Linked DNA regions of Arabidopsis thaliana. The protein of the gene in region 1 interacts with the protein of each later gene in a pairwise test. Each region holds a gene or a part of one and is shown on either strand. Other genes may lie near its edges.

Region 1 (15,544 bases):
CTTTTACACTAAAATTTTCTAAGTCTTTTTACCATAAATATTTTCTGTAGGGTCTTTTAAGAATTGCTTTGGGTTCTTACAAACTAATTAGTATTTCTAATAGTAAATTTTGGTTTAATGTGAAATGTTTTTTAAAAATTGAACTTTTCAACAATTTTTGGATTTTTTTTTGTTAAAGTGTATTTTTGAAAAAAAGTTGTTGTTAAAGTGTATTTTTAGAGGTTTAATGTATAGTTTATTATTATTTATGATTTTTCATAATGTACAAAAAGGCTGTTTTTAAGCTTTGTTTAGGGTATCCAAATATGTTAGACCGGCACTGAATGTTTGTATTTACCTTCTTCGATGCCTTGGTCTCGAGGTTTCATTACCCTCCACTGTCTGCATAACTGGATACATTAACCAGTGGTCCTGCATCAGACTCGGTTCAATCTGCATCGTCAATTCGTCATATCCAACATTAAAACCGGTTCCGGTTCAGGCTGGTACTGTGACAGAGAGTTCCTCCACGCTAGTAGGGTTTTCAGCCGCTCGTTGACGTCTCCGAATAGAGTGGATATCGAGCTTAGAGAACTCGACAAATCTGATTCTGGTGACTCTTGTGATGATAAACTGAACTCAAGCTCCTTGACCAGATTGATTCCGTTGAATATCATTGACATTAATATCTCCTCCATCGTTTGATTATATCAATTCTATTGTGGTTCGATTATGCCTTCTTTTAAGTATTCACACAAAACATATGTAACACTTATTTTTTACCTTACAAATTTTGTTTTTTGCTTCACCTGTTTGTGTATGCATCTATATACACACATAAAAATATATTATAGAGCAAGAGGGACATGTAAAGAAAGATTGGATCCTATGTTGATTCGAATTTGAAAAAACAAAGATTGTGAAATATTTCAGAATGCGACGTATACGTAATACAATCTCCAATCATATAATGACTTTCGTCTCAATTCTTTTATTTGCGTTGACATATTGGCAAAACATGGATTAATTAAACTAAACTTTGCAATTGCTCCATCCCCATAACAAACACTTTAGTAATTGATTTCTTAATACTTAATCGATGTGACAAGAAGAAGATAAGGACTAGGCTTGTTTTTTTTTTTTGGTTAACAAAAGTGAGAACATGTTTTAAAGCGTTAGATCATGTTTATGTTTTCTATCGTCCGACAATTGATTTAACTTTTTTTGGAGGGTAAGTGTTTTGATAAACACGATAGAAGAAGAAGCAGATGCACCTTGATTTCGTCATCATAGTCTTGTTTTCAATATTTGTAGCTTTTCAACGTTAAAGGCGATCTTGGAAGTCCATGCGAAGACTTGGGAATTAAATGTTGAAATAATTGTCTGATCAAATATAATGGGCCCAAAAACGATTAAACAGGACCCACAAAGCTAAACTGCCAATAATGAATTCTAGATTTCTTGCAATCTGACCAAAAAGAACATTTCTAATTCATAAAACTAATCTACTCAGAGAGATCCTTATTGGGCTTTTATCTCTTCTCCACAAATCTTTAAAGATCAAGACAATCTTTGTCATTGTTTAGGAATACATCTTTAATTTTCTCTTATATTAGAGAACACAAACAAAAAAAAAAAAAAAAAAAAAATTCTATGAGCATTTGAGTCTAAGCAGATCTACCTTCAGCTTCTGCAATTTAAAAGATGGCATTTCAGTTTCTCTACATCAGATAGTTTCAGTGGCTTCTGCATAAACATCTGTGCTCCACTCGCTAAACATCTGTAATATCATCAAGAGATTACAGAATCTTAATTCACCATTGAGGAAAACAAAACAAGAGAACAGAACAATTAAGCAATGTGTCTGAGGAATGATAAGTTTACTTGTTGATGCGGGTAGGAATGTTCTCTGAAGACAATATCACAACAGGTACTTCCTTTAGATTCGATGATTCCTGCTGCCAATAATAAAAACACCATAGAAACAGAGACAAAGAAAGAGATTTTGTTAGTCTATATAACTCTATATTGATCTTGTCAAGAGGACTTTTCATTTGTGAGAAATTTCTTACACACCTTCACTTTCTTAAGCAGCTCAAAACCTGTCATTCCTGGCATACAATAATCAGTGATGATGAGATTCACCTTCATTACCTGAAAAAACAGTCTCAAAAGGTCATATTGGATGTTATACAAATGTCTCCTCTCCAAACCAATCAGAATGTTTCATGGGGAAGATTGAGCTTACATTAGTCAATGAATCAGTCTGTTGTGGATCTCCCAAGCCTAAATATTCTAAAGCTCTAAGCCCGTTTTCTGCAGTTGTCACTGTACAGAAAGTAAAATCAATTTCTTCATTTCAGAGGCAATGTTACCATATAGAAGAAATCTTGGTTCTTGAAATTTAGAAGGAAAAAAATTTGAATGATAGTTTACCTTTGCAAGAAGAGATCTTGAGGATTCTCTCAACAAGTTTACGGTCAATTAGATTATCATCTACTGCTAAAACATGAAGCTCCTCCTCCATTGACGATAAACAAGAATCACTTCCACTTCCACAGCCCTTATTCATCTCCTACGATTACAGAGAGATATCGTTTTTGTTCCTTGTGAGTCAAGCAACAAAGAACAAAAATCTGCACAAGAAGGAGGAGAATAAATGAGTCAGACACTAATACATTATACTGCTTTTAATTCTCAAACCTAAAGAAAACAGAGACAAACTTACAGAAGAAGGAGAGAAAAACAGAGAAATGATACATTAAAAAGATTTGAGAATGGATGTGTATATATATATATATATATATATATAATTATGTTGTTAATTTATATATGGATATATAGGATAACAATATATCAAGAAATGATTTGATATGATTTTATCTTCCTTATAATTTAAGATACAACAAGTTGTGGTTTTGTTCTTGGTATTTGATTCTCTGGAAACTGGTAAGAAACTTGGTGTTTTATGTCAGTGACAGTGCTTTGTGATCTTGTACGATGATAACGAAAATCCAAATATTAATTTTTAATTTCCCATTTGTTTGGCTTTTCTAATCGTGCGTATAATGAAGATGCAAATTTATAATCATATTTAATTTTCAAAATGGATCACAAATCTGTATCAGAATCTCAGTTACGAAGTCCCCATGATTCTCTAAAATTTAAGATATATTATCATTTTTAGTATTTGAATTTTTAAACTATGGGCTTGTTCGATGTGTATATTATTATTTGTCAATTTTAATTATCGTGAAAACCTCAAATTTTAATACGAAATCTTTGACCGATATGATAGCTGCATAGTTGCATGGGCCAGCCTTGTAACGCGTTATAAGTAGCTGCGAGTCGCATTTCTTTAGTTCAATTTGTTTTCTTTCCTGAAATATAATTCGGACTGTAGAACTTTGATAAGCCTTATTATTATCTGAGCCCATTTATCGTTTCTCATTAATGGGCCTCTAATGGAAGAGTTGGACCCATCTTATCCGTAGTTATTTACCATGGAATAAAAAATGAAACTGTAAGTAATCAATAATTAAATAAATATAAGAAAATTTGGAATTTTACATCACCGGAAAGTAAATATTTTACCTTTTAATGGCTGGTCCTAAATGCCAATCCTGATATGACAGAGGAAGATTCGAGTAAAAATTGAATGTGGAAATAAATACTAACTGTAGAAAACAAACAAAGGGTAAATTCTTCATATAGATGGAAAGCGAAGAACAGTAAATGTGAATTCGCTACGGTCCGGCTCACACTGCCCAAAAAATTCCTCGAAAGCTCTTAAAAACAGTAGTAAATTTGACCCTATATTTTTAGAATACATTAAAAAGTAAAAAAGGCCTCTTTGTTAAATTGCAAATAGAAACAAATAGTAAATTCCAAAATTTCCATGAAGGGTTGTTTTCCTTCCATGGGGAAAAGAGTTATTTTTCATTGTTTATTTCATAATAAATAACTTTTACTGTCAAAAGGAATATAAAATTTTAAAACATAGGTATGGGAGAGAGACCGAAGTCTGATAAAATGTCTTGACTCGGACCAAATCTCAAACGAGAAAGACAACAATTAAAAAAATTCCAAGAGCATGCTTAACGGATTATAATATTTTTTTCAACATCATTTGTTCTATTATCTGTTTTTTTTAATGTTTTATTTTATGGCAATAAGTGTTTGACACTTAGTTATTCAACCGCATTTCAATCTGTAGGAAAAGTTTACATAATGTATGATTCCTTGCACAAACAGAAGATCCAAAATTTACATCTGTAGCTCCTCCAAGTCAACCAAAATCCTTAGGTTTGTGATCCAATTTCAAAACCCCATAATTTTTCAAGAAAATTTGTAAACCCATAATTAATAAGTTTGATGCATTGACTACTGACCAGGACATTGTACATAAATGAACAATAACATTATGGTTGCAATTATTAATGATCTCTAAGCACCACAAAATATTTTTTCCAGGACACCATCATCATTCCTCACCAACTTACTTTAATGTTCTTACTTCAAAAAACAAAATAGAGAATCAAAATAAAAAAATGAAAAACCAAAACTATGGTGACCACTTTAACCACTGTCTCTTTCTGCATAATTTTTTACCCAAAATACCAATTCTCTGCATGAGAATAACAGAACCAACCACATTCCACATTATTTCCATTTTATGTGAAAGATTATTTTCTAATTAGTTGAATCATACCAAGAGGCCACAGAGCAGCATGTAAACCCATTAAAGAAAGTTTCTATTATTTGGGAAGGATAATTTAGTCATATTCAAATTTATAGTTTCTTTCTTTATGAGTTGGCCAATCATTTATTCATTTTCCCACTTACTATACCAACACAAAATAAAAATAAAAGCCACGTGTCAGCCAAGTCGGATTCGTCAAACCCAACAAAATAAATACACGTGTCAATTAAAGAGTTTTAATGAGTCCACCCACCTTCCTCGGGCCCCACACTCTCTTCTTTCCAGCCCGTTGATAAAGGCAGCTTTTAATTACTCTCTCTGCTCTCTTTTTTTTTCTTTATTGGCTTTTTTCTCTTCTTCCCAAATTCACTCTTCTTTTAAAGCTACAAAACCTAACAAAGTTGAAGAAGAAGAAGAAGCTCGTGCTCTCTCACTTTCTTTTCCTACGGTGTTTTTTTTCCCCCTGAGCTGCAACATTCTTCGTCGGAAATCTTCCCGGAGAAAATTCTTACTAGGTGAGAATTCCTCATTTCCAGATCGTAACTGTCCAATGACTCCTTTACTTAAAAAAACTCAAGTTATTTTGCTCAACATTTACTTCAGCCATTCACTTGAAGGTTGAATATTTCTTCAATTTCTATGAATTTCAAGTAAACTGTAGCTACTTCTATTCATATAACTAGCCTTTGTTTTACCGGATTTTTCTTCATTGTTTTTTGCTTTGTTTTGCTTCCTCCGTTGGCCGAAATGTAGCCGTTGAGATAGATTTTTGTTCTTTTCTTCTACTAAATCTAACGCCTAAGAATACGAACAAACAAAGTTTTTGTTTTGAGATGTACTGTTTTTTTTTTTCTCTTGTGTTCACCAATTTTCTTCTTTCTAATTTCAGCTCTACATAACTGAAAATGGAGGTCTTCCGCAACTAAAATCTGTTCAACGGAGAAGAGGGTTGTGGAAAGATGTACAAAGCACTGATTTTTACAGTCTTGTTGGTGTCGGCAGTAGCTCCGGTGAGATCTCTAGACCCGCCTTTAAACGACGACGTTTTAGGGCTCATTGTCTTCAAAGCCGATTTACGAGATCCAGAGCAAAAGCTAGCTTCTTGGAACGAAGATGACTACACTCCTTGTAGTTGGAACGGAGTCAAATGCCATCCGAGGACGAATCGAGTCACTGAGTTAAATCTAGATGGCTTCTCTCTGTCTGGTCGAATTGGTCGTGGCCTACTTCAGCTTCAGTTTCTTCATAAGCTCTCTCTGTCCAACAACAATCTCACGGGAATCATTAACCCTAATATGCTGCTGAGCCTTGTTAACCTTAAGGTTGTTGACTTGAGTAGCAATGGCTTGTCTGGTTCGCTTCCTGATGAGTTTTTCAGGCAATGTGGGTCATTAAGAGTTTTATCTCTGGCGAAGAACAAACTAACGGGGAAGATTCCGGTTAGTATAAGCTCGTGCTCGTCTCTTGCTGCTTTAAACTTGTCTTCCAATGGTTTTTCTGGTTCTATGCCTTTGGGGATTTGGTCTTTGAACACTCTAAGATCACTTGATTTGTCGAGGAATGAGTTAGAGGGAGAGTTTCCAGAGAAGATAGATAGATTGAACAACTTGCGTGCGCTTGATTTGAGTAGAAACCGGTTATCTGGTCCTATTCCTAGCGAAATTGGGAGCTGTATGCTGCTGAAGACTATTGATCTTAGTGAAAACTCTCTATCAGGAAGCTTACCAAATACATTTCAGCAGCTCAGTTTGTGTTATTCTCTGAACTTGGGAAAGAATGCGTTAGAAGGTGAAGTTCCAAAGTGGATAGGAGAAATGAGGAGTCTTGAGACTTTGGATCTTTCCATGAATAAGTTTTCAGGGCAGGTTCCAGACTCCATAGGCAACCTTCTAGCACTGAAAGTTCTCAACTTTTCTGGGAATGGGCTTATTGGTAGCTTGCCGGTCTCAACAGCCAACTGTATCAACCTCTTGGCCTTAGATTTAAGTGGGAATTCACTAACTGGAAAGCTTCCCATGTGGCTATTTCAAGATGGTTCTCGTGATGTGTCTGCATTAAAGAATGATAACTCTACTGGAGGTATCAAGAAGATCCAGGTTTTGGATCTCTCCCACAATGCATTCTCTGGCGAGATTGGAGCTGGTCTAGGAGATCTTAGAGACCTGGAGGGATTGCATCTGTCCAGAAACTCTCTTACCGGCCCCATCCCCAGTACCATTGGGGAACTAAAGCACTTGAGCGTCCTTGATGTGAGTCACAATCAGCTCAATGGAATGATTCCTCGAGAAACAGGTGGAGCTGTTTCTTTGGAGGAGTTGAGACTTGAAAATAACTTGTTGGAGGGAAATATTCCATCTTCCATCAAGAATTGCAGTTCCCTTCGGTCTTTGTAAGTCTCTTTTGCTTTAGGTTGCATTCTGTTAAGATTTTCCCATTGAAGATTATGTCTTAACTGTGTTCTGTTTCATGCTTCTTTCTACAGGATCCTGTCACATAACAAGCTGCTAGGCTCAATTCCACCAGAGCTCGCTAAACTTACAAGACTCGAAGAAGTCGACTTATCATTTAATGAACTGGCCGGAACACTTCCTAAACAGTTGGCTAATCTCGGCTATCTTCACACATTCAACATATCTCATAACCATCTCTTTGGGGAACTACCTGCAGGTGGAATCTTCAACGGTTTATCCCCAAGTTCAGTATCAGGAAACCCGGGAATTTGCGGTGCTGTTGTCAATAAGTCTTGTCCTGCCATCTCCCCTAAACCGATTGTGTTGAATCCTAATGCAACTTTCGATCCTTACAATGGTGAAATAGTGCCTCCAGGTGCTGGTCACAAAAGGATACTGCTTAGTATATCTTCTTTGATAGCCATTAGTGCTGCTGCAGCCATTGTGGTTGGTGTAATAGCCATCACGGTACTTAATCTGAGAGTGCGCGCATCAACGGTTTCAAGATCAGCAGTACCGCTCACGTTCTCAGGCGGAGATGACTTCAGTCGATCTCCCACTACTGATAGCAACTCAGGGAAGCTGGTGATGTTCTCTGGTGAACCTGATTTCAGCACTGGAACACATGCTCTGCTTAACAAAGACTGTGAGCTTGGTCGAGGTGGATTTGGAGCGGTGTACAGAACAGTTATCAGAGATGGGTATCCTGTAGCTATCAAGAAGCTCACTGTCTCGAGTCTTGTCAAGTCTCAGGACGAATTCGAAAGAGAGGTGAAGAAACTTGGAAAACTCAGGCATTCGAATCTGGTTAAACTCGAAGGATATTACTGGACAACTTCTCTCCAGCTTCTGATCTATGAGTTTCTCTCTGGTGGGAGTTTATACAAACAGTTGCACGAAGCACCAGGAGGTAATAGTTCGCTTTCTTGGAATGATCGGTTCAACATTATCCTTGGTACAGCGAAATGCTTAGCTTACTTGCACCAATCAAACATCATCCACTACAACATCAAATCGAGCAACGTGTTGCTAGACAGCTCTGGTGAGCCTAAAGTAGGAGACTACGGATTAGCGAGGCTGTTACCTATGCTAGATAGGTACGTGCTGAGTAGCAAGATACAGAGTGCGTTGGGATACATGGCTCCAGAGTTTGCTTGTAGAACGGTGAAAATAACAGAGAAATGTGATGTTTATGGATTTGGAGTCTTGGTCCTTGAAGTGGTTACAGGTAAAAAGCCTGTGGAGTATATGGAAGATGATGTTGTGGTTTTGTGTGATATGGTGAGAGAAGCTCTTGAAGATGGAAGAGCAGATGAATGTATTGACCCAAGGCTGCAAGGGAAGTTTCCGGTAGAAGAAGCGGTTGCAGTGATAAAGCTAGGGCTTATTTGCACTTCTCAGGTTCCATCAAGTAGACCACATATGGGAGAAGCTGTTAACATATTGAGGATGATCAGATGCCCTTCAGGGAGCTCAGATGAGTTGGGTTCAAGTTGAAAAGAAGGTTAAAGACTAACATGTTTTTTCACCAAGTTCCGGCGAAGAGGAATCCGGTTTGTTCATTTGGGGGTTTTAAGAGAAATCCTTGTTTGTGTTTGTTTTTTGATAATCTCTTATGTGTTATCTTTTGTGTCTGTTAGTTTCAATTTCAATGTTTGTAGCTTCTTCTATTTATTGTTCTTGTAACATTTTTAGGGCTGTATCGGATTTGTCTTCACCGGGTTCCATAATATGGGACTCTTTCGATGAAATCTTAAGTATTATTATGAAAGAAAGCCTGTAGTCTTCATTTCAGGTTCTGAACCATCTTTTAGCAGTCGTAGAAGATAAGAGCTTTCTTGTGAGACAAATAAAAACTTAGGGTTGAGAAAAACAAGAATCAAGATAAAACTTAGTGACTTCGTGTGATGATGCTCTCTGAACAAAGAGAGTATAAAATAACTTAAGAAGCTTCATTTGTTGTAACCATGTGCATGGGACTCTGTGAAAACTCAACAATTTAATGGGTCTGATCTTTTATTGGATTATGGGAATCGAAGAAACGTCTCAAGAATCTGTAATTAAAATACATTATTCATTAGTATCTTTTTGAGGGATAATATAAGTACATTTTTAACAGAAGAACCCTAGTTTCAATGGCCGATAAAAGAGGAATGGAGCATGCCTTGTCTGAAACAGACCACGTTTTTCTCTCTTGGAGTTGGGAAAGACGAAATTAGTACTACAATCTACGTTGTCTAGCCTCGGTAATTTGCAACATTTTGACATTTTAACTCATAAGTTAAAAATCCATTTCAATATTGTACATGATAGCATTAAAGTGAGATGGCATCTAACGTTTTGACTTTCTAAGCCAAATATGCTAACACTTTTTTTTTCCATTTGAAATGGAACCTGAAAAAATAAGTTACTTAAGGGACATTTTCCATTTATAATTTTTTTCTTTTTCCATATACAGCTTATTATTATATTACCGATCAATTCTTCGGTTTATAACTAGGTTGGAGAAAAAAATAATTCATCTTTCTATACACATTTTTTCATGTCATTAATATATACAGCTTATTAATATATGAGTTAATTCCTCTAGGTTAGCTTATACAGTATATATGTCATTTTCATTTATTGGATTATTTCCAAAAAAATCCCAAAAAGGAACCTTGTATAAACCAAAAAAATAAAAAAATAAGATTGTGAAATGTTAAAAAAAAAATATATATAATGGTGATCATAATTAAGCCATAACTTAAGAGTCTTAGATGGTGATGCCAATAATTTAGAGGTGGTTGATTAAGTGTAATCATTCACTTCCGTAAGTCCGATCGTGAAATGTCTTGTGCTGCTAAATGTGTATCGCTTGTCAAAGTCATAAACAATGAAACTCCTTGGCCCCTTTAGATTAGCTTATTGTATGTCATTTCAATTTATTGGATTCTTTCAGAGAATTCATAAAAAAGAAGAAAATAAACATTGGATCATTCATAGCCCATAGGAACAAAGGCCTATACCTTCCATATATTTACGGGCCTTAAAATCTAAATCCAATATCCAAATCCATATAAATGATCCAATCAAACAATCCATAATTTTCCATCACGACCATGTTTTATTCATTTTCTCTCTTTTCCATCTCCGGAGATCGACTCCGGAATTTTCCGACGGAGGTTATGAACTCTAATGCAACTTCTGGCAGTATCAGCTATAGGCTTTGCACTATGATCACTAACAGAAGTTTTAAATCCACCTACACTTTTGCTTATTGTGGTGTTAATGAATGCATAATTGCATATAGATCTTACACGGATTAAGTTGTCTACTTGTCTTGATTCAAATCCTCTATACTACAATAGCAACAAAACTAACAATGTTCTTTGATTAAACAAATCACTATAACCAACCAACTTTGACCATTTTATTTACATTTATATCACCAATCCAAATTCCTAAAAAATGTTCTGTATTAATAACAAATGTAATTTGATCATCCATAAGGGTTTCATAATCAAAACCCAAAGAGTATAAATAATTTACAGTGCAAATCCTTTGACAATCACTGCTCATTGACCAGTCTGCACCAACCACGAATTATTCAACTGTGACATAGCCGTTTCCCTAAAACTCTTGACCTTAACCAAACAGAAATGGGTGCAAACCGTACCCATACCCGACCGGACCCGGGTCGTTTTCAATAGATAACAAACCGGCCCAGTATCCGATCCTCTTCCTTGCGCCACAATCCCCCACGCGCTTGTATCTTCCCCACACGCGCCACCATCGTGATCATCATCATCTGCTATGTCACCGTCTGCGAGCTTCTCCACCAATATAACTCCTTCCGGCGTCCTCTCTTCTCCTCTACCCCACTTTCCTTCCATCTCTGTCCAATCCTCCGCCTTTGGATTCGTTGCCGTCGTCGTCAAACCACCATTAGCCTCCGCGTATAAATGCATCAATAACGGCGACTCTCTAAGATTCTTCACGATCTCAACCACCGAATCTCTCAACCACACATCTAGCTTCTCCCTCGACACAACAGATCCACCGCGTTTCCTTCCACCGATCCTTTCAATCTTCACCGCCGCAGACGGTGGTGACAAATCCTCCATCGACATCGAAATCTTCCCGATCGCACACATATTCCGTCGATTCGTCACTGGAACAACACATGACGATCGAGAATTCAAATTTAACGTGCGACGATCACAACGAACGGCGCATGCACTTCCTCCTCCGCAACAAATCCTCGCAGACGTCGCCATCTTCGCCTACCGGAAGATTCAATTGCAGAGACGAATAGGAATCGGAGAAGATATGCTGCGATTAGATTGGAGATTGCTTCACGCTGACGAATTCTCTTATAGAGTCAATCACACCAATGGTTGCTTTTAAGAATACGTTTTACTGACGCAGCCACACACAATCCAATGGCAATGATGAATTATTAAATACCTAATTTTTTTATTTCTCCAGCACGGAAGTTGTGTAAGTTGTTTGATCGGACGGTTGAGATTTAGAGATGGTAGAAATCGCGTTTATCTTATTCTTCACGTTATCCTCAAAAGTCTGAGGTGGCTTAAGTAGGTGATTATTCCCTGTAAAGTGTTGACGATATAGACTAATTAGATATCAGATATGGACCGTTCGATGTAAATCTAACGGTTGCTATTACGTGAAGCCGGTACGAGATGGAGAACGTGGCGACGCGGTTTAGCTGTGTGCATGGCTTGGGCGGGCACACGCTGGTACTGGATTTAAATTGTGGTGAACACGTGTTATCTCTGTTATTTATAATCTAGACCATAAGATACGCCACGTCAGATTCCACGGTGGACAATGTCTTTTAGAATAGATTGGGCCCGTCGTTTTTTATTTTTGAGGAAAGTTTCGGCCTTTTCGGTATGGCCCAGACCACTAAACTATTGTTATACTTATGTGCGTTGATCTTTCGCATATAAGGATTGGATCATTGGACTGAGGTTTGGAATGTTAGGTGCGTTTTACGTTTCTCCTGCCATAAACTACACAAAGACAAAAGCACATGCAAAAACAACATAAATATGCATCAACCTAAGGTTGCGACACAAATCGAGCAACTATGCAAAACGCTTAAAGCCATGAAGCCTTAGAGATTGACAAGTAGATCAGTCAAAGTTTACGTGGCTTAGTAAAATTATATACTTTTGTTTGCTAAGAAAATACTTTTATATACTTATCTGAATAAATCCACCTCTCGCTTTATTTCTATTTTCTAGTGTCTACATATATAAAAAGATCATGACGACCACCGTTATTATCATTATCTTCGTTGCCATCTTCGCTACGACTCTTCACGACGCCAGAGGAGCAACCATGGAACCGTGTCTCGAATCAATGAAGACTGCTTCGCTTCCTGATCTTCCGTATGCTTATGATGCGCTAGAGCCAGCAATCAGTGAGGAGATCATGCGGCTACACCATCAGAAACACCACCAGACTTATGTCACTCAGTACAACAAAGCCCTCAACAGCCTTCGTTCTGCCATGGCTGACGGTGATCACTCCTCCGTCGTCAAACTCCAAAGCCTCATCAAGTTCAACGGCGGAGGTCAAACCCTAGCTTTAAACGACTAAGTTCTCATTAAATTCTTCCGATAGGTGCTTGTTGATCGTAAGGATTTTGATTTTTTTTTTTCTGTTGCTTTGCTTGTAGGGCACGTTAACCATGCAATCTTCTGGAAAAACCTAGCCCCGGTTCATGTACAAAAATGTTTTTTTGTCGTCACTCCATGTGTCTATTTCTGATGAGTTTAATTGTCTCTTCTAAGGGGTCAAATTGATATATAGGAAGGAGGTGGCAAACCACCGCATGATCCTTTGGCTTCGGCGATCGATGCTCATTTCGGATCACTAGAAGGATTGATCCAAAAAATGAACGCGGAAGGCGCTGCTGTACAGGGATCTGGATGGGTGGTAAGTTTTTTTTCAGAATCTCATTAACAATGTTGGGAACACAATTATTGGTTTTCAGATGAAAGTTTATAAAAATTTCTGACAGAATATCAAAATTCATTTCAATTTGAATTGGATATGTGATGTATATAGGACTCTGTTCGAAATGAAATTGAAAAACATTAATTTCAAAAAAGGTGTTAAAAAGGAAAATCTAAACGGGACAATAAGTTTGGTTAGTGTATAGTGTAGTATTAGAAATATCTATAATTTCATTTTTGTTAATAAACAGGAACTTTTGTATTTCCTTGTGTAGATAAAACCAATGTTTATATTTTCTTTGTTTTATAGTGGTTTGGATTAGACAGAGAGCTTAAGAGACTTGTCGTTGAAACCACAGCCAACCAGGTAGATTAATGTAGTGATTAAGCTAATTTGTAACATGGTCTATCTCACAAGGATTTGGGAAAAAGAAAAGAAAAAGATTTGATAGATTGGTCGAACATACAGGATCCATTGGTGACTAAGGGATCACACCTAGTTCCTCTAATTGGGATTGACGTGTGGGAGCATGCCTACTATCCACAGGTACTCTAATCTCAATTATAATACTCCTTGATTTGATATCAGGTAGAGTAATATCGGTTTTATTAGTAAAAGAACTGTTTGATTGAATATTAACATTGATCAATGGGTGCGGGTAATGCAGTACAAGAATGCAAGAGCGGAGTACTTGAAGAACATATGGACTGTAATCAACTGGAAATATGCAGCGGACGTCTTCGAGAAGCACACTCGTGATCTTGATATTAACTGAGTTTTATATGTCTGTAGTAGCTTTTGTTTTTTGGGTTTCTTGTCTTGTTGATAAATACGGCAGTACCGAAGATGCAATATTAAGTTTAAGATGCTATGTATGTACCTTGGAAAATAACGTTTGTTAAGCTTTTTTTTCTTGTTTTAGAAGTAAAAATAAAAATAAATCTATATTTCTTTTGCTCTGGTTTGACTAAATGAAATATTTGTAAATATATAAGATGTAACAAATCTATAAATATATAATAATTAAAGTTTAATATTTAAGATTATATAAATGAAATTTCCGGAGCAGTTTTTTTAGTTTTCTTCCATAAATCAGTACTCTTAAAATTGAGTAGATTATTTTTTTCTTCTTCTTAGCATCTCACTTTTATTAGACTGTAAAAGGGTGGTCCAAATAGTTCGCCAACCAACTTGGTGTTACTGTAAAAGTTTGATATATTGGGTACATCGTAGAAGCATGTCTTGAGAGCATATCCGCAGCACCATCATTTTTCTCCTGATTCACATGTCCCATAAAAAATTACGGTAGTTTCGACATCCAGTGACGTATATGATATATGCATAGACACGATTAGTTTTCAACATGTAAACAAATTTTTAAAAAGTTTTAGTGAATTAATTTCTCAAAGTTTCAATGTACTGGGCTTGCTCAGGCCCAAATATAACCCATTCCTAATAAAACCTAGAAGAGTCTGCATATATAATAGAATATTTCGCAAATATTAGGGTTCCTGCACTCTTCTTCTTCCCTGTCGCCGCATCAAAGAGAACTGAAGCAATAGGCTTTTGAAGCTCTCTGCATAAACATGGCAAGTTTTCTCCTTCTTTGTTAGATTCATAGTTTAGAACACAGAATCAAGCTCACAGTGATTTTGAAAGCGAAATTGTGTATTGAATTCGAGTTTGCTTTTTATTGCAGACTTTCAAGCGCAGGAATGGTGGCAGGAACAAGCATAACCGTGGTCATGTGAAACCAATCAGGTGTTCCAACTGTGGAAAGTGTTGCCCCAAGGTTCATTCTCCTACATAATCATTTCCCGGTTCTAGATTTGTCTTAAGATTGAAAATGTATCGATCTGGTTTTGGCTCTCTTGTTGATAGGACAAGGCGATTAAGAGATTTATCGTAAGGAACATTGTTGAGCAGGCTGCTATTAGAGATGTTCAAGAAGCTAGCGTCTACGAAGGTATGTGTTGATAGATTCTTGTTATGCATTGTTAATTGTGTATTTGGAATTTTGTTTTGAGACTTCAGAGTGTAATTGGTTTTGTATTTGTATTGCATTGGTAGGTTACACTCTCCCAAAGCTTTACGCTAAGACGCAGTACTGTGTCTCGTGTGCTATCCATTCTCACGTTGTGAGAGTCCGATCCCGCACCAACCGTAGAGTTCGTACCCCACCACCTCGTTTTGCCAGACGCAAGGTAACCTCTCAGTACAATGAATCCATTCGTGTCCTTCAGCAAATTTGCTTAAATCAGTCTTAGATAAAAGGTCTTGGTGGCATTTTGATAATAATGGTTTGAAAGGTGAATTGGTTTGAAGCGGAATTATGTAGTTTCACTTTCTCCAAATACAGCAATTATATTCGAATGTGAGCTCGACACTGTATCTCATTGTTGTAGTTGTTTCATATGATTGTTGTCCTGTTCCAAACCGTGAC
Region 2 (17,123 bases), on another chromosome or scaffold:
TTTTGTGTATACTCTGTGGATTGATTATGTGTGTGTTTGTATTAGGTTGATGTGAGAAAGGCGATTAGGAAACATGAACTATACCAACAGCCGTTTAGCATGCAGTTTTTGGAGAGAAAAGTGCAACAGATGAATGGTGGTTTGCGTGAGATGTCGAGTAATGGTGTGACCAGTAGGACTAAGAAGATATTTGTTGGGGGTTTGTCGTCTAACACGACTGAGGAAGAGTTTAAGAGTTACTTTGAGAGGTTTGGTAGGACTACTGATGTAGTTGTGATGCATGACGGTGTGACTAACAGGCCAAGGGGTTTTGGGTTTGTTACTTATGATTCGGAGGACTCTGTTGAGGTTGTTATGCAGAGTAATTTCCATGAGTTGAGTGATAAACGCGTGGAAGTGAAACGGGCAATACCTAAAGAAGGAATCCAGAGCAATAACGGTAATGCTGTTAATATTCCTCCTTCCTACAGCAGCTTTCAAGCAACACCTTATGTCCCTGAGCAAAACGGATATGGGATGGTTTTACAGTTTCCTCCTCCTGTCTTTGGTTATCATCACAATGTCCAAGCCGTTCAATATCCTTATGGTTACCAATTCACAGCACAAGTGGCTAACGTTTCATGGAACAATCCGATTATGCAACCCACCGGTTTTTACTGTGCTCCTCCTCATCCTACTCCTCCTCCCACCAACAATCTTGGTTATATCCAATACATGAACGGGTTTGATCTTTCGGGTACGAACATTTCCGGGTACAATCCTCTAGCATGGCCTGTAACGGGGGATGCAGCTGGTGCGCTAATACATCAGTTTGTAGATTTGAAGCTTGATGTCCACAGTCAAGCCCATCAGAGAATGAATGGAGGTAACATGGGAATACCATTGCAGAATGGTACATATATATGACAGTTGCAGAATGATAAATGCAAATAGGCTCACAAGGGTAGTGAAATTCTTTGGACTCTTTTAAATGGTTTTTTAGGTTCCTCATCTTTCTTCATTAACTCTTTGGTAAATGTGTTGGGTTGGTTTGGTTACCTTGTATATTGTTTAGGTATTTGATTTTAACCCCAAGACTTATGTATCATATATTACTGCATTTGTAATATATCACACTCATTTAGTTCATTTTGTTGCTTTTATGGTTTTGTTGATTTTGTGGTTTCGTTGATTAAATTGGCAATGATGTTTTAAATTCATCAAGGAAAACAAAGAAATAGATTGTCGATTAAACAGTAGAAAAAGGAAATAGTTTTGTAGAAATAGGAACTGAATCTGGAAATCTCTAAGAATACCATATTGTAGAAAGAAAATAAATCTGAGACGGGAGAAACTATCGAGCATCCTTGAGCTTTAAGTTGGAGAAACCGGGTAAGCGTTTGTGGGATTTTGTTGTAAGATTGAACGCACAGATGTCCAGGGATGAACTTTCGAAGTGACAGACCCGATCATGGCGGGTGAAATAGATGGAGTTTGGATTGAAAGTTACAATCCAGTGAACTATGTAAAAGAGCTTTTGGACGTAGATGGTGTGTGGTGTGGTAGAATCAAAGGGCTTTCAAACTTATTTATTTTCTGTATTTGTGGGCTTCGATAACAAGAGGGAAACTCAATGCCATGAAGACATATGTGGTACAAAACCAAGTGAGAGAAGTCATGGTTAATATTATTTAGCAAAAATACAAAGTCATGGTTAAAATCTTTATTTAATTTGTTTGAGACAAATTGTGGAGAATTAGTTTTCAAGAATCTATTAACCATTATAAAATGTTTCAATTTTTTTTTTATGTAAATGTCTTTACTTTTCTTTTTGTTAGGCAATGCAACAAATCATGAAATCGAACGTAATGTGTGGTTGGCAGCACCTAAGTTACCGTTGAGTGTTGTTGACAAAAGAGAAAATTTAAATTTATATTACCATATTCTGAGAGATCATGTTCAATTACACTACCATATTACTCATACTTTTCTTTGTGTCTTCATTAATTTACGGTTATATTTATGAAATTGGTGTTAATGCCAAACATAGTATATTCACGTGATAGACCATTTTGTTACCATGTCATTGGTAAGAAATAACAGTTAAATTTCGTTATCGTTCCAACTAATATCAAAGTAATAACTAATTCGAGATTTCATATATAGAACCTAACAACTGTTGTTTGAAAGAGTTATTTTTAGAAGTCCAACAAATCGAAACCATGTATATATGTGCACATGTCTTTGAATGTAAAACGCAAGCCAATCTCGAGCAGAAAAGTTACAAACTAAAGAAGAAGATGAAGCTTCAAATTCTATTGCTTGCTTTGGTTTTAATCGCTGTTGAAGCGAATGCAGTCAAGCAAGGGATAAACGCAACGATCCCAGCGCTAATAGTTTTTGGAGATTCAATAATGGATACAGGAAATAACAATAATCTTCCGACTCTTCTTAAATGTAACTTTCCTCCATATGGTAAAGATTATCCTGGAGGCGACGCCACTGGAAGATTTTCTGATGGAAGAGTTCCTTCTGATCTTATTGGTAACTATTTGAATTAACTTTTATATTTTTCAAAATTATAAATCATATCTATTTATATATATAATCTGATAAATATGTTATCAAATATTTCAGCGGAAAAGTTGGGATTGGCTAAGACATTACCAGCATATATGAATTCATATTTGAAGCCTGAGGATCTTCTTAAAGGTGTAACATTTGCATCTCGAGGAACTGGTTATGATCCATTGACAGCAAAAATTATGGTACCATATATCTTATGTTTTTCCATCACGACTGTTAGTTGTTTTTATGGGTGATTCCTTTTTGTTACATTTATGTTTATTTTTGTAGTCAGTGATATCGGTATGGGATCAACTCATATATTTCAAAGAATATATATCAAAGATCAAGAGGCATTTCGGAGAAGAAAAAGCCAAAGATATCTTGGAACATAGTTTCTTTCTTGTGGTGTCTAGTAGCAATGACCTTGCTCACACTTATTTAGCTCAAGCTCATAGATATGACCGTACCTCTTATGCCAATTTCTTGGCTGACTCTGCTGTCCATTTCGTGAGAGTAAGTATTTTATTCGTAGTTATATATAATAATACATAAACTAATCAATAATATATTGTTATATCCACTAACTATTTTATCTTATCTATAACTGATAATTAGGAATTACATAAGCTTGGAGCTCGAAAAATTGGAGTGTTTAGTGCAGTCCCCGTTGGTTGTGTTCCATTACAAAGAACAGTTTTTGGAGGTTTTTTTACAAGAGGATGTAATGAACCTCTAAACAACATGGCAAAACAATTCAACGCAAGACTTTCTCCAGCATTAGATTCTTTAGATAAAGAGTTGGATGGTGTTATCCTTTACATTAATGTTTATGATACTCTTTTTGACATGATCCAACACCCTAAAAAATACGGTAAGTTCATCTAACAGATTTATCTATATAGAAACTATATATTATAATTCATTTTTATTGTCGAACTAAATTTTATTCCAATTATCTCATTTCTTTTAGGTTTTGACGTAGCCGATAAAGGATGTTGCGGTAAAGGACTGCTCACAATATCCTATTTATGTAACTCATTGAACCCATTTACGTGTTCTAATTCTTCATCATACATATTTTGGGATAGCTATCATCCATCTGAAAGAGCTTATCAAGTTATCGTCGACAATTTACTCGATAAATATTTGAGCAAAGTCTATTGATGTTGAGGAATCAAAGAAAATTGTATCTTTTTGTTTCAAATTTTTTTTCATCTTAATTCATGTCTCACTATGTATTCATATCTTAAATTTTAAATATTCATTCTTTTTCTATAATAATATTTGGTGGGATAAAGATAAATATTTTCAACGGAAAAATATACAATCAAATAGTGGAATTTTATACGTTTTAGACTATTTTATTCCTTTTGTAACATACTAGTATAATAATACCCAAAATAGTATACATATGTTACTTTCATAAGAAAAAAAAAAAAAAACTATTCTACAGTACTTAGGCCTGGGCAAAAGAACCGCTAACCGATTAACCGAACCGAGCCGAACCGAAAAACATGGTTCGGTTCGGGTTTGGATAGCTTAAAATAACCGGCTGGATATTATATGTTTTAGATTTCGGTTTCGGTTTTGGTTAGGTTAGTAACCGATAACCAAAGGATAACCAAAGCATATATGTATGATAGATAATATATCACATATATTGTATGTATTGACACTTAACTATGTTCTTCTCTTTATTAGTTTGCAAGTTGAATTTTGTGAGTTGTGAATCAGGTATTTTAATATTATGGAGAGTATGGACCATATTTGCATCTTTGTGAGTTGTGAATATATCTTTTTTTACGTACGTTCTATATCGGTTATTGGTCAATTTTTTTTTTTTGTTTCGGTTTTTAGTCGGTTATTTCGGTTTTGGTTTATTTATGGTTACCAAGTTTAATATCCGAACCGAACCGAACCGAAAGATATCCGAATCGAACCGAACCAAAATTCCTCAAATATCCAAAATGGTTCTTATATTACTATAACCGAAATAACCGAAACCATGCGCAACCGAACCGAAACCGAATGGTTAACCGAATGTCCAGGCCTAGTAGTACTATATTGAATAAAACTTTTATGTCATACTCATGCATATCTCACTTGCAACAAGAAACACATGAATCCAAAATCCATGATTCCTTCTTCACCTTTCCTTTAATTTTTCAATAGTCATAACAGTTTTAACTAACACTTGAGCGAACGTTGTGAAAAAAAACGCACCCACACGTGTCGCTATCTTACCCATTCTATCACAAAACCAACGGTCATAATAAATTCGACCACAGAGTAGTCGCTCTCACATAGTATCAAATCTTGGAGCATCAACCATTTTATAACCGACACGTGGCCTAATCGTCGCTCCCTTCTTCACCGGCCACACAACGTGGCCTAATCATTTGTATTTAATTTTAATTATTTGCATGTTTTCATTTTAAGTTATGATTTGAATGAACTGGAAATGCGAACTCTTCGCGGAATTGGAATTTTAAAAGCAATTCGGTGTTTCATTTTTTTTTTTTTCTCTTCTCTTCTCTGCGAATTCTTAGGGTTTCTGAATCTTCTGGTTCTCTTCGCAATCGAATTCTCTGAAGTCAAACCAAAGTTTTTGGTATTTCTCTCTGTAAGTCATGTTTTTTTTTTTTTTTCTGAAATCTCTTCGATTTGGTTTATTCTGTTATACAACTTCGTGTTGTATCTGTAATTTTTCTGACGAATTGGATTTGATGATTTTGCTTCGATTGATTTCCCTGGGAATCGAAATTGTGTTTGTTTCACTGGATTTAGTGGAATGCGATTCTCTGATTCATTGTTTGTTCTACGTTTCCGCGTTTTCATCTATCGTAGTTCTACTTTATTGTTTAGGCACCATTGAAATTGCGAATCGTAATTTTGATTAACGGAAAACAGAAATTGATAACTTGAAATTGAATCTCAGTGCATTATGTTGTTTGTTATCTTTGGGTCGTATGTAACCAACTTATCTTCCTCTGCAAGTTTAGGTACTGATTATGATTTGATTCATGTTTCCAATTTTTCGTATCTGCAATGCAAATGCAGAAAGTTTTGGTTAGTGTTAAGATAGTTTGGATTCAACTTACACGTTTGATCGACGATTGTTTATCAGTCTCTTTCGCGGTGTTTCGTTAGCCTATCTGTTTTTTTAAGCATTGGATTTCAGGACTTTTGTTATTTCGATGTTCTTATCTTTTTTCTTTTTGTGATGTTTTCTTACAGTTTCTCCTGCCAATCTAAGAACCTCCTGTATTGCTAGGTTGGCCATCTTGTGACGAGACGACGTACTTATGAAGTTCTTCTCTTCCTGCGATTTTTAGTCAGGAAGGAGTTGAACTAAGATTAAGATGGAGATATCAGCTCTTCTTACATCTGCTGGAATTAATATTTCGATATGCATAGTTCTTTTATCACTTTACTCCATACTTAGGAAACAGCCAGCCAATTACTGTGTATATTTTGGCCGAAGGCTTGTTTGTGGTGGTGCTAGACGTTATGATCCTTTTTGGTATGAGAGGTTTGTGCCGTCTCCAAGTTGGCTTGTGAAAGCATGGGAGACTAGTGAAGACGAGTTATTAGCTGCTGCTGGTCTTGATGCTGTCGTCTTCCTTAGGATGGTCATTTTCAGGTTACTGAAAATAAACTCTCCCAGATGCTTTTTCTTTGTTCTGCTTCTTGGTTTTGTTCTGTAGTGTTTGTTTTACTTTGTGTTTTTTGTTCTGCAGCATTCGTATTTTCTTTATAGTTGCTGTTATTTGCATTGCCTTTGTGCTGCCTGTTAATTATTATGGGCAACCGATGGTGCATAAGGAAATCCATTTGGAGTCATCCGAAGTGTTTACAATTGAAAATCTTAAAGAAGGCTCAAAATGGTAAATGTTTTTTTTTATCTCTACCTATGTCTCTTTGAAAGATGTTACTCTATGCAGAGTGTGTAAAGTGCTGATTTTTTCTCATTACATTTATTGCTCTCAGGCTGTGGGTTCATTGTCTTGCACTGTACATTATAACCTCAGCGGCATGTCTTCTGCTCTACTTTGTGAGGACCTCGTACCTTAGTTTATCTCATGCATACAGCATACTTGAATACTTACTCTTGGTTCCTCCATGTATCTTCTTATTAGTTTATTTCCCAACCTTTTGACATTTTTTTTATACTGTAGGAGTATAGCACCATAGCTAAAATGAGGCTTGGGCATATTACTGGATGTGCCTCAAAGCCAAGTCAATTTACCGTTCTTATCCGTGCTATTCCATGGTCTCCTGAGCAATCTTACAGCGACACGCTGAGCAAATTCTTCACAAACTACTACTCGTCCAGCTACGTGTCCCACCAAATGGTCTACCATAATGGCATCATTCAGAGACTGCTGGTACGTATATTTCTTGGAACAGTCATTTTTAACTAAACTATTACGCAGGCCACCTTCCTCTTGCTTTACTTGTCAGATTAAAACCGTCACCTAGATTTATTTTAAAAAACTGTTATTGCTCTTTGTGAAAATGATTTGAAGTTTTGAACATTTTGCCAGCTTTAAGTGTTACTTCTTATTGCAGTATTCATTTTGGTTGATAGCTTTCGTAGTTGGTGTAAATTTCATGGTTCTGAATTGTTATGTGCTGCTTGGATGTTATAAAGGGTTATTTGATGACTAGATGCAGAGATTGATGATATTACATAGCACAGTAGATATAATAATGAAATTTAGTTCGTGTATCAGCTAAAAGGGGTACAGTTTAGATGCATATTCTGGGAATATGAAAGGACCTTCTAGAGCAACTCTGTCTGTATCCTACTGCTGGGCTTTCATTCTACTGCTTTCTGATACTGTGGTTATTTCAGTATCACTACATCAGTTTCTCATTTATTACCTGTCAGCATGTTGTAGAAATTGGGTAAATGATATGTGGATGGTTTGTGCTTGTGATAAAGTATTTGAAATTTAATGTTCTATGTCAGATAAAAAGTGTGACGTTTAGATTATTCCAATTTCTGTCTCAGCGTGATGCGGAGAGGATGTGCCAGACTCTAAAACACGTTTCTCCTGAAATCAATTGTAAACCGAGTTTAAGGCCATGCACCTTTTGTGGAGGACCTACAGCCACAAGTTCTTTTCATATCCTATCGAATGAGGCAGACAGTGTGAAAGGAATGGAGCTTGGTGAGTTGACTATGACTACGACTACGACAGAGCAAGTAAGGAATTCTTCTGTCTTTCCCTGATCTAGGCATAGGATGTGGATATCTGTTATTTCTTCTGTCCAGTGGAGAGGATCGTTTCAACTAACATTACAAACTGATTTAGAAGTTTCCACTGCATTTCTTCTCAGTTTTTCACCTGGTCCTGACAGATAAAGACTTCTTTTACTTTAATGGGATACAAATTGAACTTTGGAAGTGGCAGTCTGATTGTCTGATACTGCATAGACTTGTATAGTTTTGTTTACTCGGTACAGTTTTAAACCATCATTAATGATTTGTAGCACCATATTCGACAATTCAGTATAGTTAACTAAGATTTTTCACTTTTGTGGTAGCGATTAGAAGTAGCAATGCTTGATTTTAATTAGTCACAATATAGAATAGCTTACTAAAGCCACAAAATTTTCTGCGTTTTGCAGGAACGTTCAGCTGCTTTTGTGTTTTTTAAGACTCGCTATGATGCTCTTGTTGTTTCGGAGGTTCTACAATCATCAAATCCTATGTTATGGGTGACAGACTTAGCCCCAGAACCTCATGATGTGTACTGGAAGAATCTCAACATTCCTTATCGACAACTTTGGATACGGAAAATAGCAACCCTTGTTGGTGCAGTTGCTTTCATGTTTGTGTTTCTTATTCCCGTTACCTTCATTCAAGGGCTGACTCAACTAGTGCAGCTGTCTCACGCATTTCCTTTTCTAAGAGGCATCTTGAGCAAGTGAGTGCCCTGCTGGTTCCTTACGCATGTATATATATATGGTTTTGTTTCTTCTGGACATGATATTAGAATTGGCGTTAAAAAGTAGGCGGAACTCCGGTGCAGTATAGAACACACGAGCCTTCTCTATAGCTTTCAAACCATTGGAGAAATCAAAATTTATGTTCTTGATTTGTTTTATCATCTTTCAAGTTAATCGGGCCACCAAAACCATTTTGCAGGAACTTTATAAACCAGGTCATCACAGGGTACTTACCCAGTGTGATCTTGATTCTATTTTTCTATGCCGTTCCACCATTGATGATGTATTTTTCGGCCTTGGAGGGATGTATTTCACGGAGTATAAGGAAGAAGAGTGCTTGCATCAAAGTCTTATATTTTACCATTTGGAATGTGTTCTTCGTGAATATATTATCAGGGTCTGTTATCAGGCAACTGAATGTCTTTTCTAGTGTCAGAGACATACCTGCACAACTTGCTAGAGCAGTGCCAACACAGGTAATTTACCCATAGTCCTTTTACATTTCAGAGCAAAAGTTTGAATTTTGCTAATGTTCAGGTTTCTACAGTCTCTGAACATTAGCTAGGTTACATTTTGCCAAGATCTTGCAGCTTTCGGATTGGATATAGTGTTTTCTTGCGCTGGAACTTTAATAGTTTGTTCTTTTTCCTCGTTCCATGATAAAATTATATATCAGAGATATTAAAGCCCATTGGAGGAATTATTTGGGATTGAGCTTTTCTGGTTGCTTGTGTTTCATATTTATTAGGAAAAATGAAAATTGTATCATTGATTTTGAATATGGCTTTAACCATGTATGCAGGCTGGCTTCTTCATGACCTATTGTTTCACATCTGGTTGGGCCAGTTTGGCTTGTGAAATAATGCAGCCTATGGCTCTTATCTGGAATCTGGTAGCAAAAGTTGTTACCAAGAACGAGGATGAGTCATATGAAACACTTAGGTTCCCATACCACACCGAAATTCCTCGGCTGCTTTTGTTTGGGCTCCTGGGTTTCACCAATTCAGTCATAGCACCACTGATACTGCCGTTTTTGCTGATATACTTTTTCCTTGCATATCTCATATACAAAAATCAAGTAAGTGTGTTCTCTGATCTCTTGTACATAATATCACAGTTAATCTCTCCAAAAGCATCATAATGGACTTGTACCTAATTTGTGAAAGCTTAGTTACTTTGTGACCTGCATGTTTTAGATGGAAATTGGATTTGTGCTTTTCGGAATTTTGCTTCTGCAATGTTTATAGTCATGTACAATGTGATAAGAGCCATTAGTAGTGCCAAGCTCATGCATTGAGTAAAAAGAACTCTTGATATATATTTTTAAAGACAACCCTTTGTAGATGCTCAACAGAATTGTTTCTATTTGCAGATACTCAACGTGTATATTACGAAGTACGAAAGCGGTGGACAATACTGGCCTATTTTCCACAACACAACAATCTTTTCACTGATCTTGACACAGATTATAGCTTTGGGGTTTTTCGGATTAAAGCTATCAACAGTTGCTTCGGGTTTCACCATACCGTTAATTCTTCTCACGTTACTTTTTAGTGAGTATTGTCGGCAGAGGTTTGCGCCCATTTTCAACAAAAATCCTGCCCAGGTATATTAAATGTAACCAAAACCTTTGATGTTCCTACTGCAGTTTATGCGTCTTCTCGGTGCTTGATTGATGTGTTTCTTTTCAGGTTCTCATAGATATGGACAGAGCTGATGAAATATCAGGAAAGATGGAAGAGTTACATAAAAAATTGCATAATGTATACTCGCAGATACCATTACACTCTCAGAAATCATCGAGTAAAGCTGAATGTAGTAATCCTTTCAAAAAGCAGGAGTTACCAGATCCTGAAAAATTGAAGCCAGGTTTCGAGTTTATATCACTGTTTGTGTATGATTATAGATATCACTTGATTAGAGACTAATGAGATTTATATTTTTCAGAGGAGGGGGATGCGATAGCTAAAGAGTTATGGGGATTCCAAGGCAATGAATCTGGTCAAGAACATGACACTAAGTCCTGAGCATCTTTCTCCAAAGAAGATCGAACTTCACAAACGGAACTAGACAGATGTTTTTACTAGTGAAGTGCCTATGTGTTGGTTCAATCACAAAGTCTCCAACAAATCAGTGCATTAAGCACAAGAGTTCTCTCGTAGGCATGCTCAGCTGCAAAACCAATGTTACTGGGAATACTTTCACTCACTTGAAGAAAAGTAGATGTAAGTTTTTCTGGGATATTTGATAATTTCTTCAATGAAAATTCCTATACAAATTATATGGGGGAAACATGTACAGTCTTGTTGCCAAGATAAAAATGTACATCTTATAGTTACTGCAAGAAGAAATGGAACTTCTTTATAGAGCTCAGAGTATGAGAAACTAAAACTATCAATCTCTTTGATGAGATGGCCATTTTTCAGTTGTTCATCTATGGAAATTATGTCGTACGAAAGGTGGAAGAAGTAGGATATTGTGAGTTCCTAGCAGATAGGATTTATATACATAAGATCAGGGAAGTAAGTGGTGAAAAAGCAGAGATGATGATTTTACCGAGGAAAAACAAAAAAAGCGAGATGTTGACACATGTTATCTAATAAAATTTGAGAATTTTTAATTTTATTGGCTGATTTGTTTGGAGTTTAACTAATAACAATTGTTACATAATCTTAAATTAATTATATAAAAAAATTATGGTTTCAATTTACAAAAAGCTTAATATTTAACTTAGAGATATATTTTCCCTACTTTTTCCATAATATGAAGTTAAAAATAAATAAAACTATACTTATGCTAAATAATAAAACAAAACAATTGGAATTTTATTTCATTAGCTTATCTGGTTGGAGTTCTAATAATAACAATTGCTTGACATTTCATTTATTATATTAAAAAATAAGAATATTTATTTCCATTTAACCCATATTGTAACTCACTAGATTTTAACCCGCGGTATACCGCGGGGATAATATATTTTTTTAAAGTTAATATATAGAAAAATTTGCAACTTGTATCTATCTATAAAATATTTTTATTTTATAATTTACAATTGTTATTAAGTAACGTCCTGCCAAATCCGTCCCGCCAACCCGTCACGTAAAAATACTTATTTATTTTATTAATGTTGATTTTATTTATGGTATGTTTATGAATTATTGTCTAAATATTTTGTAATTTTGTAGTAATTAACTGATATCAAATATCTTAACGGTTTGATGCTTATAATCGAATTGTTATAGTTATGCAAAAAAGCAATATAAAAAATGATAATTTTGTAATTTTTAAATGAGGTTAAATATTTTGGAAGTTTTATTTTAGTAACTAATCGTGTAGTTAATGTAGAGAGATTTTGGGAAGATAGTTAAATGTCAAATATTTAATTCGAAGATTTACTTTCTAATTATCAAAAACAATTATTAAATGTTAGTGACAGACACTGTAAATAAGTCTCAACTTGAGGATTTATTTCACAAAGTGGTTGCAAAAATGTATATGTAGATGTGTAATGGATTCATGAAAATATCTAATAAAATATTTTTGTTTAAAAGTCTAACAATAATCTTAAACTGTTGAAAGCAAATTACCATAATGAAAAGAAATTAATTTGTATAATTCAAAATCATGTATCAAATGTATTATTATACATGATGCATATTAGTTCTTTTAATATAATTTTTGGGAAAAATCCAGTAAAAAAAACATTCAAGGTGATAAATTTTTTACTTGCTCTTAATTTTTGGTGAAGTGGGAGGGTTCATTTATTATTCGACTTTCAAGACAATTGGCAATACATGTATTTGCATTTCACCCAAAAAAGTAATATTTAAGGTTTTTATATTAAGTAAAACATAGAGTTTTCACAAAAAAAAATAAAACAGAAAATGAAACTTAGTGCATTGATAACTCATAATTAACTAAAGTGTCTGTTTTAAAGACATCAAAATTTGTAAACATCAAAATTAATATTTTTAATTATTTTCGAGTTTTATTTTAATTATTATAGATATAATTTATCGTTTTCCGTATATTTATCATATTTTGTATTTAGATAAGTTGGTGGTCCCATTTTTCATTGAAACTTATCTTAAATCATAGACTTTAAAAATTTTAACGTGAAAAATTGATCAATTTATTCAATTTTCAAGACGATTGGTAATACATGCATTTCCATTTAAAAAAAAAAAACATTCCTGACTATTTTAAGTTTTTTATATAGTAAAACATACTGTTTTCAAAAAAAAAAAAACAAATTAGTGCATTGAACATTTTTAATCAACTAAAGTGTCTTCTTTAAACACATCATAATTTATAAACATCAAACTCAATATTTTAAATTATTTTTGAGCGATATATTAACAATAATAGATAATTATTATATATACTTAATATAAATCATCTTATATTCAAAACTAAAACCGAACATATAATACACGCATAGCGTGGATAACTTTATAGTTTCTAGATACCTGAAGGTAAGTTTTTACAAGATAAACACAAGCACCAATGCACACAACAAGCGACTGTGGGATAACTTGTTGGGCATTCATCAGCCCATATCCTGCAAACAAATAGCCATCATGACCCCACATGTTCATCAATCTGATTAAGATATACAATCGCTATCAAGAAGAAAGCCAACGTGAGTGAAGCAGTCATAAGATATATGTCTGTCTCCAGCTTGAGTGAAAATTTCATCCAGTTGAAAAGATAGAAAGATGTCATAAATGGATAATGGATACCTTAACTTTGAAGAGATCATATTATAGGCATTCGGCTCTCTGCTGTTTGTGTTGTAGCTCTGATTGCTACCCTTATAATCCATTGACGTGGGATTGATTATTTGGAGGTAAGAACCATATGATATTTGCAATCTCTTAATTAGAGAAATTTCTAACAAATAAATTTTAAAAGAGCAATGATGAGGAACTAAATAAATCCAAATTCGTCACAAAATATTTGTCAACCGCTTTATTCTTAGAGAGGAGAAATAACTTGATGTACCCAAAAGACAAATATAAGAGAATTGCAATTACAATCTAACTTTTTGTTTGAAATTACCTCATTTTTGGCATGAATCAGGATACAATAGAAAGGGAGCGGAATTGGAATAAATATATAAATAGCTTTGTAGTCACATAAACCCTAGTAAAAAGTGGGGGTTAGTCCTATGTAGTCCTAAATGGCTAAACAATAGAGCAGTTTCAGAAGAAAAAAACCCTCTCATATTATATTATGTTAACAAAAATTTATAAAGTCAAAGTTCTTCGATAAGTTATAAAGAAAATTGCTCCCTCAAGCTGCATGATCTCTGTTTAAATATGGGTCTCCTTTAGTTTATTATACAATCCAAGTAAAAGCCGATCAAATCACTATAGGAATGAAAAAAAAAAGAGAAAAAAAAAGAAGTTAATCTAAGATGCTCGACCTCTCAACAAAGTATTACCATATTCTGAGATGTTGTGGTGGTAAAAAAGCCCAGCCCGACCTGAACCCAAAATAAACCCGCCCACCAAAAACCCAATTTTAGAAAACCCAGATGGGTTTTTAATTTAGTGGGTAAAGCCCGAAAAAACTTGATTGTTTCGAGACTACCCGTGGGTACCCAACTTGGTTTCTGTCATTTTCTTAGAGTTTATTTTAAGAGAATATTATACTCTAAGGCACTTTATTGAAAGTATTTGTGCGTTGAGACACTTTCAAAAGAAAGGACACTTTCTCCAAGTGAAATTCCTTATTTGTCCCTTAACCACATCTCTCTTTCATTTACCCTAATTCCTCTTGTTACGATTATTTTTTTTCTCCATCTCTAATCTGTCTCTTTCTCTCTGCGTACAATCCATTGAATTCATAGCAATTTCAGAACTACAAAACTACATCTTTTTTCTTTTCCCTTGTTCCCTTGAAGAACGAAATTTCACAATCAATCATTTGTTTTAAACAAAACTTCTCGCTCAAATTGATTTCATCTCTTCTTTCTTATGGAGACACCAAATCAATAAGCTATCAACGCTAAATCCAGCATCTCGAATTGATTTCACTCTTATTTGCTTTTAACAAGGGTCTCAAAGTTAAATCCAGTACAATGCTTTTGACAGTTTCAATTCTGGATTTTTTAAGAATTTTCAGGAAACTTAAGTTAGAAATTATTTATTGATTGTGATACCTTAGGTGGCTGCTCAATGTGGTGTTTTAGCATGGTATAGGTGATTTTTTTGCTTTCTTACTCGTTATGTTCAATTAGATATCTAGATTGTTACGAAGAAGGTCTATGAAATTAATTGGACTCTTGAATTGAGTTTAGGATATTTATTGCTTCAACTTACATTATACTGGATTTAACTTAGTCTCCCACTTGTTGTAGATATCATCCCGAAGATATTGGATGTCTTTACAAAAACACATGATGTTTTTAGCGCATACCGAAGATTAAAATTGCTCCGATGGTTGGAACTAGTATGTAGATATTAAGTTTTGATCTTTGTTTTGTTTCTTCTCCCTTGTGATAGAGCATGACTTCAAGGCTTTGTTAAATTGAAATGGTCAAAATTACAATGACATCCACGTGGTCAATACATTGACATAACATACTATGAAAACTCTACCATAGAACTTTGACTATGTGGACAGATTTACGTGGACATAGCTTCATGACATTCAACGTTGTGGAGGGCTTTTGCTAATTTTGGTTCATGTTAGTAAAGCTAGTTATTTATTGTAATCATATAGTGATCTAGTATTCATGTCTAGGTTAACTGAGCTTTTTTTGCAAAAGCTTTGTAGCGGTTAATCAAGCTTTAATATGTTGGTGTTAACTTGAGTTTCCCTTCATATAACTTGTGTTCATATGTAATTTTACAAATTGGTTTATCCATATGGACGACTATAAATGGTCGGGTGCGTCCAACAACATCCATAAACAATTTTGGATATGATTAAGTCAATAGAAAAATGTAAAGGATCCATATAACTCTAACTATATGTTCAACATGAAATGGTCACTTGTGGATGGATACTTGTAAAGCGTTAGAGTATAAACGCAAAGCATCGGCTGTGAAAGCAAAGATTCCATGATTTTTCAAGTCCAGAGATTTCTCTTCGTTCTTCCTACATCAACCCAAAACACGATGTGCTAACTCTCTCACCGCCTGAAATGGCAACTAAAGGAAACAAACTTTCTTATTATGTTTTCACTTTCGAATTTTGTTGGCTTCGATGACTATAACAAATTGAATTTGATCAAGCTCACATATATAACTTGGCCAATAAAAAATTCAATCAAAATTCATTTTTTGTATAACTAACATATATAACTGGCCAAAAATAAGTAAATCAGAACTGTACCAGTGATTCAAAAAAAAATCAAAAAAGCTTCATTCAAGAAGAAGATGAAATCAATCAGAACTGGTTTTCGATTTATGGAGTTGTGTCACGTCATCACCGCCTCTTTTGTCGTTGTTTTGCACTAAATCTGAAACAAAAGATAGTAAGGGACGAGGGAGTTCAGATCTACAACAGATCTCGTCGTCTTTAGAAACACAATTTCGCTCATATGAATCAGATATTTACAAAATTCAACAAAATTTATAATTTTGTTCGTAAAATTGAGGAAACAAACCTACACAAAATCAAAATCTAGAGAGGTTTCTCCGTGATGTAAAGTACAAAAGCTACACAATCTTCACAAACTCCATTGTTGCTCTCACCACACAAACTCTATATCACCACACATACTCAGCAAGGAAAGAGAAAAAAAAAAGTAAAGATAAAGAGATTTGCCTTAAAAAAAAAAGTGATCGATCAGATCTTAATAGAACTTCCATCGCTGAGAAAAAGAAAATAACTAAATTTTTTATCCAACCACTCACGTACGTCACATATTTGTTTGTTTGTAACCGACAAGAATCTAAATTCAAAAGCTTATTATCTTTTTTCTTATTAGTCAGGGGTAAAATGGTCTCAATTTCACTAAAAGAATTAGAAAAGTGCCTTTTCCCTCTAAAGTGTGTAAAACGTATAAACTTTCCTTTAAAGTGCTCTATTATGCAACTCTCCCTTATTTTAACTGCTAATATACTATTATATGTATGTTGTATCTATAATTTGCTTATAAATATATTTTAAATTGTATTTATTTCCTGTATTACATATAAATTTGATGGGAAAAATGTCAAATCCTTTTCTTGGCCGGAAATATTGAATATTGTTTTTGGCGGGAAAATGTTAAATTGCGTTTTTGGTGGAAAAATGTTGAATATCATTTTTGGCGGGAAATTTCTAAATTGCGTTTTTGACAGAAAAATGTCAACTCCTTTTTGGCGGGAAAATGTTCAATGTCGTTTTTGGCGGAAAATGTTGAATCGCGTTTTTTGGCGAAAAAATGTTGAATTGCGTTTTGGCGAGAAAATATTGAATGTCGTTTTTGGCGAGAAAATGTTGAATTGCGTTTTGGCGGAAAAATATTGAATGTCGTTTTTGGCTGGAAAATGTTGAATTGCTTTTTGGCGGGAAAATATTGAATGTCGTTTTTGGCGGGAAAATGTTGAATTGCGTTTTGGCGGGAAAATGTTGATTGTCGTTTTTGGCGAGAAAATGTTGAATTGCGTTTTGGCGGGAAA

What was found.
Region 2: the proteins of AT3G56370 (region 1) and RXW8 interact in a protein complementation assay, tested with the Arabidopsis thaliana proteins (one large-scale study listed by BioGRID).

What each region holds. Positions count from the first base shown.
Region 1 is NC_003074.8:20,892,487-20,908,030, reverse strand, and holds AT3G56370 (Leucine-rich repeat protein kinase family protein), read left to right. Parts: upstream 1-4,950; 5' UTR 4,951-5,196; intron 5,197-5,570; 5' UTR 5,571-5,640; coding exon 5,641-7,070; intron 7,071-7,163; coding exon 7,164-8,628; 3' UTR 8,629-8,932; downstream 8,933-15,544. Other genes in the region: AT3G56390 (WRKY transcription factor-like protein), read right to left, coding at 441-677; RR17 (response regulator 17), read right to left, coding at 1,663-1,759, 1,864-1,937, 2,056-2,133, 2,228-2,307, 2,416-2,551; AT3G56360 (uncharacterized protein), read right to left, coding at 10,689-11,390; AT3G56350 (Iron/manganese superoxide dismutase family protein), read left to right, coding at 12,406-12,715, 12,821-12,867, 12,955-13,080, 13,411-13,467, 13,570-13,647, 13,769-13,876; AT3G56340 (Ribosomal protein S26e family protein), read left to right, coding at 14,688-14,690, 14,801-14,893, 14,983-15,067, 15,172-15,305.
Region 2 is NC_003070.9:21,727,634-21,744,756, forward strand, and holds RXW8 (GDSL-like lipase/acylhydrolase superfamily protein), read left to right. Parts: upstream 1-4,932; 5' UTR 4,933-5,170; intron 5,171-5,784; exon of another isoform or gene 5,785-5,821; 5' UTR 5,822-5,909; coding exon 5,910-6,190; exon of another isoform or gene 6,191-6,287; coding exon 6,288-6,434; intron 6,435-6,537; coding exon 6,538-6,601; intron 6,602-6,725; coding exon 6,726-6,935; intron 6,936-7,564; coding exon 7,565-7,759; intron 7,760-8,184; coding exon 8,185-8,483; intron 8,484-8,704; coding exon 8,705-8,981; intron 8,982-9,307; coding exon 9,308-9,583; intron 9,584-9,877; coding exon 9,878-10,111; intron 10,112-10,196; coding exon 10,197-10,374; intron 10,375-10,452; coding exon 10,453-10,532; 3' UTR 10,533-11,117; downstream 11,118-17,123. Other genes in the region: RBP1 (RNA-binding protein 1), read left to right, coding at 46-906; AT1G58525 (GDSL-like lipase/acylhydrolase superfamily protein), read left to right, coding at 2,280-2,523, 2,617-2,747, 2,836-3,060, 3,163-3,418, 3,539-3,711. UniProt on the Arabidopsis thaliana protein: Acts as an osmosensitive calcium-permeable cation channel.